Linked DNA regions of Danio rerio. The protein of the gene in region 2 interacts with the protein of the main gene of each other region in a pairwise test. Links are inferred from orthologs where the notes say so. Each region holds a gene or a part of one and is shown on either strand. Other genes may lie near its edges. The genes, in order: polr3glb and polr3c.

The links.
Region 1: the proteins of polr3c (region 2) and polr3glb interact in binary tests that used the Homo sapiens proteins (3 or more experiments, as listed by UniProt). The link is inferred for Danio rerio from reciprocal best matches to the Homo sapiens genes POLR3C and POLR3GL.

The regions. Positions count from the first base shown.
Region 1 is NC_133191.1:47,264,713-47,269,138, reverse strand, and holds the start of polr3glb (DNA-directed RNA polymerase III subunit RPC7-like), read right to left. Parts: upstream 3,033-4,426; 5' UTR 2,838-3,032; intron 2,604-2,837; 5' UTR 2,601-2,603; coding exon 2,493-2,600; intron 790-2,492; coding exon 660-789; intron 1-659. UniProt on the Homo sapiens protein: DNA-dependent RNA polymerase catalyzes the transcription of DNA into RNA using the four ribonucleoside triphosphates as substrates. Specific peripheric component of RNA polymerase III which synthesizes small RNAs, such as 5S rRNA and tRNAs.
Region 2 is NC_133191.1:14,595,865-14,599,692, reverse strand, and holds part of polr3c (DNA-directed RNA polymerase III subunit RPC3), read right to left. Parts: intron 636-3,828; coding exon 371-635; intron 1-370. UniProt on the Homo sapiens protein: DNA-dependent RNA polymerase catalyzes the transcription of DNA into RNA using the four ribonucleoside triphosphates as substrates.

The DNA.
Region 1 (4,426 bases), about 33 Mb from region 2:
AATTTTTTTCACATTTTTTATGTTACAGTCTTATTCCAAAATGGATTTAATTCATTTATCTCCTCAAAATTCTGCACACAATACCCCTTAATGACAGTGTGAGAAAATATTTTTTCAAACTGTTGCAAATTTATTAAAAATAAAAAACCTGAAAATCACATAAAATTCATTTTTAACACTGAATAAACTACATGAGGTGATCATTGTCAGGTTTTCCTGTTGTTCGCCTGTGTGAAATAAAAGCCGTTTCTAACATATCAATTCGAGGTGTTGGTTAGGACAAAAACTCCTTTTAATATGGAAAATATTTGTTCTATCACGTGCCGTTGCTTTTATACTGAACACGGTTTACATTAGGCTTGAGACTCGCTCCTCTTGGTCATCTGGCAACCTGCACTTGCATATGTTTTGATTCTGGAATGTAATTCCTAGTTCAACCACTGGGTGTCAAATTACATACCTTTAAACATTTGCACCTTTAAATGTTATTTACAATAATTGCATTAAGACTCAGGATTAGAAAAAAAGGATTGCATATGTGCCAAAGTGTAGAAATCGCATGTTATGTAATTTCGAAAAAAAAATGACATGATACAATGAGCATAATATAAGCCCTTTAAAGATGTCAGTAAAGAGCTAGTCCTGGGCTCTGAACTGACCTTTCTTGGGAGCCGCTGGACGGATGTAAAACGGGAGCGTCTTCATGGCTCCCCTAAACTCCTGTTTGAGGGCCAGCATGTACTCGGCCTCCTCACCTGCCTGCAGGGGCACTGGCTTCTGATCCAGAGGCTGAACACATCAAACAGCACATTCACATCTGTCTGCTGCTCACACAAACACCTGCTGTCACTCATTTACACATGCCAAGACAGAAATCAGCTTTTAATAGGGCATACAGCTAAAGTCAGAATGATTTTTTTCTTTTTTAAAATATTTCCTAAATAATGTTCAACAGAGCAAGAAAATTTTCACAGTATGTCTGATAACATTTTTTCTTCCGGAGAAAGTCGTATTTGTTTTATTTCGGCTAGAATAAAATCCATTTAAAGGTCAATATTATTAGCCCCATTAAGAAAATTTTTCTTCTTCGATTGGCTACAGAAAAAAAACATTGTTATACAATGATTTGTCTAATAAACCCCAATCAACCTACTGTAGTTAAGCCTTTAAATGTCACTTTAAGCTGAATACTAGTATTTTGAAAAATATCTAGTCAAATATTATGTACTGTCTTTATGGCAGAGACATCTACAGACACTTAAAATGGCAATAAAATTATTTTCTTTACTGTAATAAAAATGTTAATTGAAATAAAAAAAACATACAGTTGAAGTCAGAATTATTAGCCCCTTTTTTATTTTTTTCCCCAATTTCTGTTTAACAGAAAGATATTTTTTTCAGCACATTTCTAAACATAATAGTTTTAATACCTCATCTCTAATAACTGATTTATTTTATCTTTGCCATGATGCACATAATATTTGACTAGATATTTTTCAAGACACTTCTATACAGCTTAAAGTGACAGTTAACGGCTTAACTAGGTAAATTAGGTTAACTAGGCAGGTTAGGGTAATTAGGCAAGTTATTGTATAATGATGGCTTGTAGACTATCGGAAAAAAAATTGCTTAAAGGGGCTAATAATTTTGACCTTAAAATGGTATTTAACAATTAATAACTGCTTTAATTTTCCAGAAGAAACAATATTATCAGACATACTGTGAACATGTCCTTGCCCTGTTAAACATCATTTAAAAAATATAAAAAAGAACAAAAAAATTCAAAGGGGGGCTGATAATTCTGATTTCTACTCTTACTTCCAGCAGGATAACGCGCCATGTCAGAAAGCACAAATCATCTCAGACTTTTTTTTTTAACATCACAATGAGTTCACTGTACTCAAATGGCCACAATATTCACCAGATCACAATCCAATAGAGCATCTTTGGGATGTGGTGGAAAAGGAGATTCACATCATGGATGTTTAGCGGGCAAACTGCTTGATGATATCATGTCAATATGGACCAAAATCTCTGAGGAATATTTCCAGTATCTTTTTGAATCTATGCCACGAATGATTAAGGCAGTTCTGAAGACAAAAGTGGTCCAACCCAAAACTAGTAAGGTGTACCTAATAAAGTGGCCGGTGAGTGTAAGTGGCTTATTATGTAACTGTTAAGGTAAATAAGGTGGAATACTGTGATGATGTGTTCAACAATAAAACAATTTGAATTCTAAAACAAATATTTAAACAAATATGTTGTTGTGATATTAGACACTTTTAAAATGTAATGTTTGCTGAATGTTGAACAGGACCGTTTTTTCAATGCAATTTCTGTGTAGCTCGTGACGCCATCCACATTAAACTATTAAAGCACTGCGTTTATGCTCATGAAATGCAGAATCTGACTCATATCTTGATAATAGCAGTGTATAACAAGCGTATAACAGTTTATAAACGAGGCTTTATTGTTGTGTCTTGAAGACTCACGGGGAACAGAGGTGTCGGCTGGATGCAGGACGGAGGGAGATTTTCACCTTTACCGATCCCAACTATCTCCACAGAGAAAGTGAGCTGCCCTCTGCCCCTTCCTGCCATCATCTGAGACAAAATATTTCACATTTATTAATCATACATCCTCTTTATTTAACTCGTTTATCCGTTATTCACAGTATAAGTTTACTCATTATCAAACAACTAAATTCGGCTAGAAAAGACACATTTAGGCCAAACATGTTAAAATATTTATTTTTACATAAATGTACTTTTGGTAAATGTTTTATTTTCAATGTAACGTTTTATTTGTTTTGACCGAACTGTAGCATATAAACACACCTCTTTCACTCAATGCGGCGAAATCCCTCTTTATTTTCAACTTCGTTTCATTGTGCAAAGGTTTTATTGGTTAATCCGTCAGTAAACGTGGTTGTTTTTAATGTAATTTCAGGTTTTATTGATGTAAAATTGAGCAATAAAATCACCCGCCAAACATCTGCCCGTTTGTTTTTGCCCGCTTCTGAAAACACTCCTGCCAGAAACATGAGCGCGGTCTTTTATGGTTCCGCGTTTCGCGTCAGTTAACGTTAACCAGTGCTACTCAAAGTGAATCATGCTAAACAAACAAATCATTACAAAATATGTAAGGATTCATTACATGTTTTGCATATTGCTCACAGAGATGCTGATGCACATGCTAAAGATTATTATACTGTAGTCAACATTTGAAGTGGATCAAAACCTTTATCAAAGTTGTTCCAAAACTATTCAACAACACACATTTTTAACTTAGGACAAATTTTGATAAACATTTTTGATCTGTTTTAAATGTTGGCTATTATTTATTAAAACTACTGTTTATGTAGCCTATAACTAAGTTACAACACTTTATTACATATGTGAAACATATTTGTCCGTGTACATACAGTATAGATATTTCTGTAATTCATGGCTTTATTGTATAATACTCACAGACACAGTGCGTGTGTGTGCGCGTGCATGCGTGTGTGTGTGTGTGTGTGTGTGTTTACAGTTGAGGTATTGTTATTAGCCCCCCTTAGAATTCTTTTTTCTTTTTAAAATATTTCCCAAATGATGTTTAACAGGGCAAGGAAATTTTCACAGTATGTCTGATAATATTTTTTCTTCTGGAGAAAGACTTAATTGTTTTATTTTGGCTAAAATAAAAGCAGTTTTGAATTTTTCAATGAAAATTTTTAGGGTCAAAATTATTAGCCCTTTTAAGCTTTTTTTTTTTTTTTTTTTTTGATAGTCTACAGGGGTTCTCAAAGTGGGGGACGCGCGACAATGAAGGGGGGGGGGGTCGCCTAGTTATTTCCAAAAATCGAGTTATTTTTATTAAACCATAAGAATTACCATATTTTATCCATAACCTACTGAAGAGAAAAATCTAAATCATCTTTATAGTGATTTAACATTTTAACATCTTTATACACTATATACTGCTGTATTGAGTTACTATAGTAGCTTCTAGTTACTAGTTCTATTGGATTGCGACCCCTGGGGTAATTACATTATGTTAAAGACAGCAATAGCGTCAGATGTAACAGACTGATTTTATAACACCAGGTTAAACTTTCTGGCACATTAACAGCACTGACATACATTAATTCCACAAAGAATAGACATGGGTTTCTGTACTTATAACCACCTCAGAGGATGTTGGGAGTCGCGAGTCACTGGCATTGTCGTTTTGGGTGTCATGGGCTGAAAAGTTTGGGAACCCTTGGATTACAGAACAAACCACTGTTATACAATAACTTGCCTTATTACCCTAACCTGCCTAGTTAAACTAATTAACCTAGTTATGCCTTTAAATGTCACTTTAAGCTGTATAGAAGTGTCTTGAAAAATATCTAGTCAAATATTATATACTGTCATCATGGCAAAGATAAAATAAATCACTT
Region 2 (3,828 bases):
ATTAGGCAAGTTATTGTATATTGATGATTTGTTCTGTAGACTATCGAAAAATATATACAGCTTAAAGGGGTTAATAATTTTGACCCTAAAATGTTTTTCTCTTTATTTAAAACTGCTTTTATTCTAGCCAAAATAAAACCAATAAGCCAAAAAAAAATTATCAGACATACTGTGAAAAATTTCTTGCTCTGTTAAAAATCATTTGGTAAATATAAAAAAAAAAAGAAAAGAAAAAAAAAAACTCAAAGGGGGGCTAATAGTTCTGAATTTAACTGTATATGTAACCTGATGTTTGCAGAGTTCACTTCTTCGACCACTTTACATTCAGCAAGTAAAGTTTTTCTGTACTTCATTTGTTGTAGTGTCTCACCTGGCATGTTGTGGGTCAGCCTGTCTGCTACAGTCTTGACTGTACTGCTCATGGTCATCTGGCCTCTCTGCAGGATCTCCTCAACAATGAGCTCTCCCGTGTCCCCATACAGACTCTTGGCGGTGTAGATGTAGCGTGGATAACGGAGCATGTGTAGGATGTGCTCACAGTTGATATGATACTCCACAGGTCCCGCTGGGCCACGACGACCTGGACCAAACGTACACATCCCATGCTGCACCAGCACACACAGAGATTTCTTGACCTAGTAGGAGGACAGTGTTAAAAAGAAAACATGTGACCCTCAAACACAAAACCAGCCTTATGTTGCATGGTTATATTATTGGCAATAGCCAAAAAAATCTTTCTATGGGTCACATTGATTAATTTTTCCTTTTGGACAAAGATCATTAGATTATTATGTAAAGATCATGTTCCATGAGGATATTTTGTAAAAGTCCCACTCAAAATATATTAAAACCTACAATTTTTTTGATGACAAATGCACATTACTAGGTGCTTCATTTTGGCTTTGTTCACACTGCGAGGCTTGGTAAAGTCTAGATCGCATACGCGGCCGGCCAGAAGTGTGATATGCACATTAATATAGCAGCATTTTTTTTTACACTCTGAGTGCTCAAATAAGATTTTTTTTTCTCAGATCTTATTTTTTTGCATAGCTGTTCACATTGCTGTTATAAATGTGGCCAATATCAGATTTGCAGTGTGAACAGATCATGATCCTAAACTGACCCGTATGCGCAAAAGTACACTTACGGACAGCACAAAAGGTCTAATAATTCACACAATGTGTATTCTGTAAGAAGCACGTTGTCATATCATGCTTCATATGATTATTACCCTTTTTACAGACAACTGTGGTGTGTTTCATGAACTGTAAAGGGTTATTCTGCTACTACTAATGTGTATTTCCCCATTTGAGTCTTGAAATAAGTCACTTGTGATAGAAAACACTGATCATTTGTGATTTATGACAACCGCGTAGTGCATCTGTCTGACCAATCAAGTTCAAGTTCATTTATTGAAAAAGCACATTTAAAAGCAGTCACAAGACTGACCAAAGTGGTGTACATAAAACAAAGTAAAAAAAAAAAAGACAGAATATAAAAGCATAGAAATAAGGCAAGAGAAATGACTGTAAAAAAAAAAAAAATATATATATATATATATATATATTTTTTTTTTTTAATTTGCGGTAGAACAAACTATGTAAATAATCTTAAAAAGCCAAGCTAAAAAGGTACGTTTTAAGAAGTGATTTAAAAATGGATAATAATGGATAATAATGGAGCCATTCTAATCTCAGGGGGCAAGGTGTTCCACAACCGAGGACCTGCCACAGAGAAAGCTCTGTCCCCTCTAAGTTTCAGCCCAGACTGTGGAACTAAAAGAAGATTCTGCTCTCTTGACCTAAGAGATCTCACAGGAGTGTAAAGATGAAGCAGCTCTGAGAGATAGGATGGGGCTAGATTATGAAGGGACCAATGGTGTAGTGAACTCAAGGGTTGTTGAGCAGCTGCAGACTGAACTGTGAGGGTGGAGTTGGTTTATCCCTGTTTAGGTTATTTCATTTTACTTCGTCATAAACAACAGGCACGTGCAGAAGGGGGGTTTGAGTGCTTGAGCACATGCCCTTTTTTTTCTCTCTGAGAGAAAGTTCAACCTTAAAAAAAAAAGTGCCCCCTCCTTTGTGCACGGATCTCCAATCCGCAACACCCCTGACACTCTTCAGCTTCGCGGTTAACCCGTGTCCCAATCGTTATCCAGAATGGTTACCAATACCAAGTACAAGTTTTGCCTTCAAAATGTTTCTAAAAATTAACAACCAACTTTCTATGATAAAGTAATTGCCCTGTGTATTCCTTCTACTATGCTGCTAAGGAGATGATGATGTCTGCAGCACAGAATGATGACGCATGCCACTCAAAGATTATGCAAAAGTCACATGAAATCCGACATAACTGTTCAAACTGCGGTCGCAATGCAAAACATCAGGGGCCTCATGTACGAAGACTTGCATGGAAATCATACTAAAACATTGCGTACGCACAAAAATTTCAGATGTATGAAACACTGCGTACGCCGAATCTCACGCATATTCTTTTGTACATCCGAATGAACGTGAAACTGAGCGCAACATGCACGAGCACAAAACCCTTCCCTGCCTCCTCCCCCGTATGAATATGCTAATGACTATACTTTGGCAAAACCCAACGAAAAAGCAATGGCTAGCAAGCCAAAAGAGAAACCTTTTACAGAATGTGAATTGGAGGTGCTGCTTTCGGAGGTAGACCGGAAAAAAGCGGTGTTATTTGCAAGTTTGTTCTCCGGAATTGACAACAAAAGAAAAAAATATAGTGGGAGAGTTTAGCTAATGCGGCTAACACAATTGGGTCTGAACATCGCACCGAGTGAAATAAAAAAGAAATAGTGTGATTTATAGGTGTAAAATGTTGCAGTACCTACAACAGTCTCAGTGGCGCAGTTCGTAAAACGCAGGTTAACATGTTTTGACACGTTCGAGCATGAACTCGGTTCGAATCCAGCGTCTGATGAACTCTTTCTTCTTTTTTCCCCCGCTACATATCAGATTATCACGAGAAAGACAAGTGGGAATCATTAATAAGTTTGTGAATCATATTTTATTTGCACATTTATTGAATGGAAATGTTTCTGATTCACGCATGCGAATTCATCTTCAGATAGTGTCTTTATAGCAATGTGTGTGCAGTAGATAGCTCAGATTACATTGGGAAAACAGGCGACCGCTGCAAATTGTGCTTTGATGTTTAGCTGGTCAACTGTATGGTATGGAAACCATATACCTGCTAGATGAACCTGTCTCATACAGCTGCCATTGCAAGGCTCAGACACTTTGTAGAGAGGAATTTAACACAACTGCCTCTAGGAGTCGCCAATGGAAATAAAACAGACACGCACAAAAAATGTGCGTACGCCAGCCATAATGCTAGCGTGGTGCTGCGCACATTCCCACGTTCAGTTCATCGTTAGTAAATCCAAACGTGAGCGATTCTGAGCGTGAAACCTGGCGTACGCAAAGTTTTTGTGCGTACGCAGCGTTGATACATGAGGCCCCAGATCTGTGTCTGATTTAAGACTACATATGAGAGTGGTACAAATCTAACCTGAAAAAAATCTGATTCCATGCAGTTTGGGCTGTTTACACTGTCATTACTCGAGTCACATGTGGGCAAATTAAATCTGAACTGGTCCACATTTGGCTGCAGTGTGAACGTGGCCTAGACTGCTTTAAAAGGTCATTTTTCCAATATTTAAATTTGTTTTTAAGATCCCATATTATGGATTTTTGAAAATGTCCTTCCATGTAGCGTGTAACACAGCTCTAAGTGAAGTGAAATATCCAGCTAAGGCTTAAAACTGTAAGTGTACAGTGTTTAAAACTGTTGATTCATCTA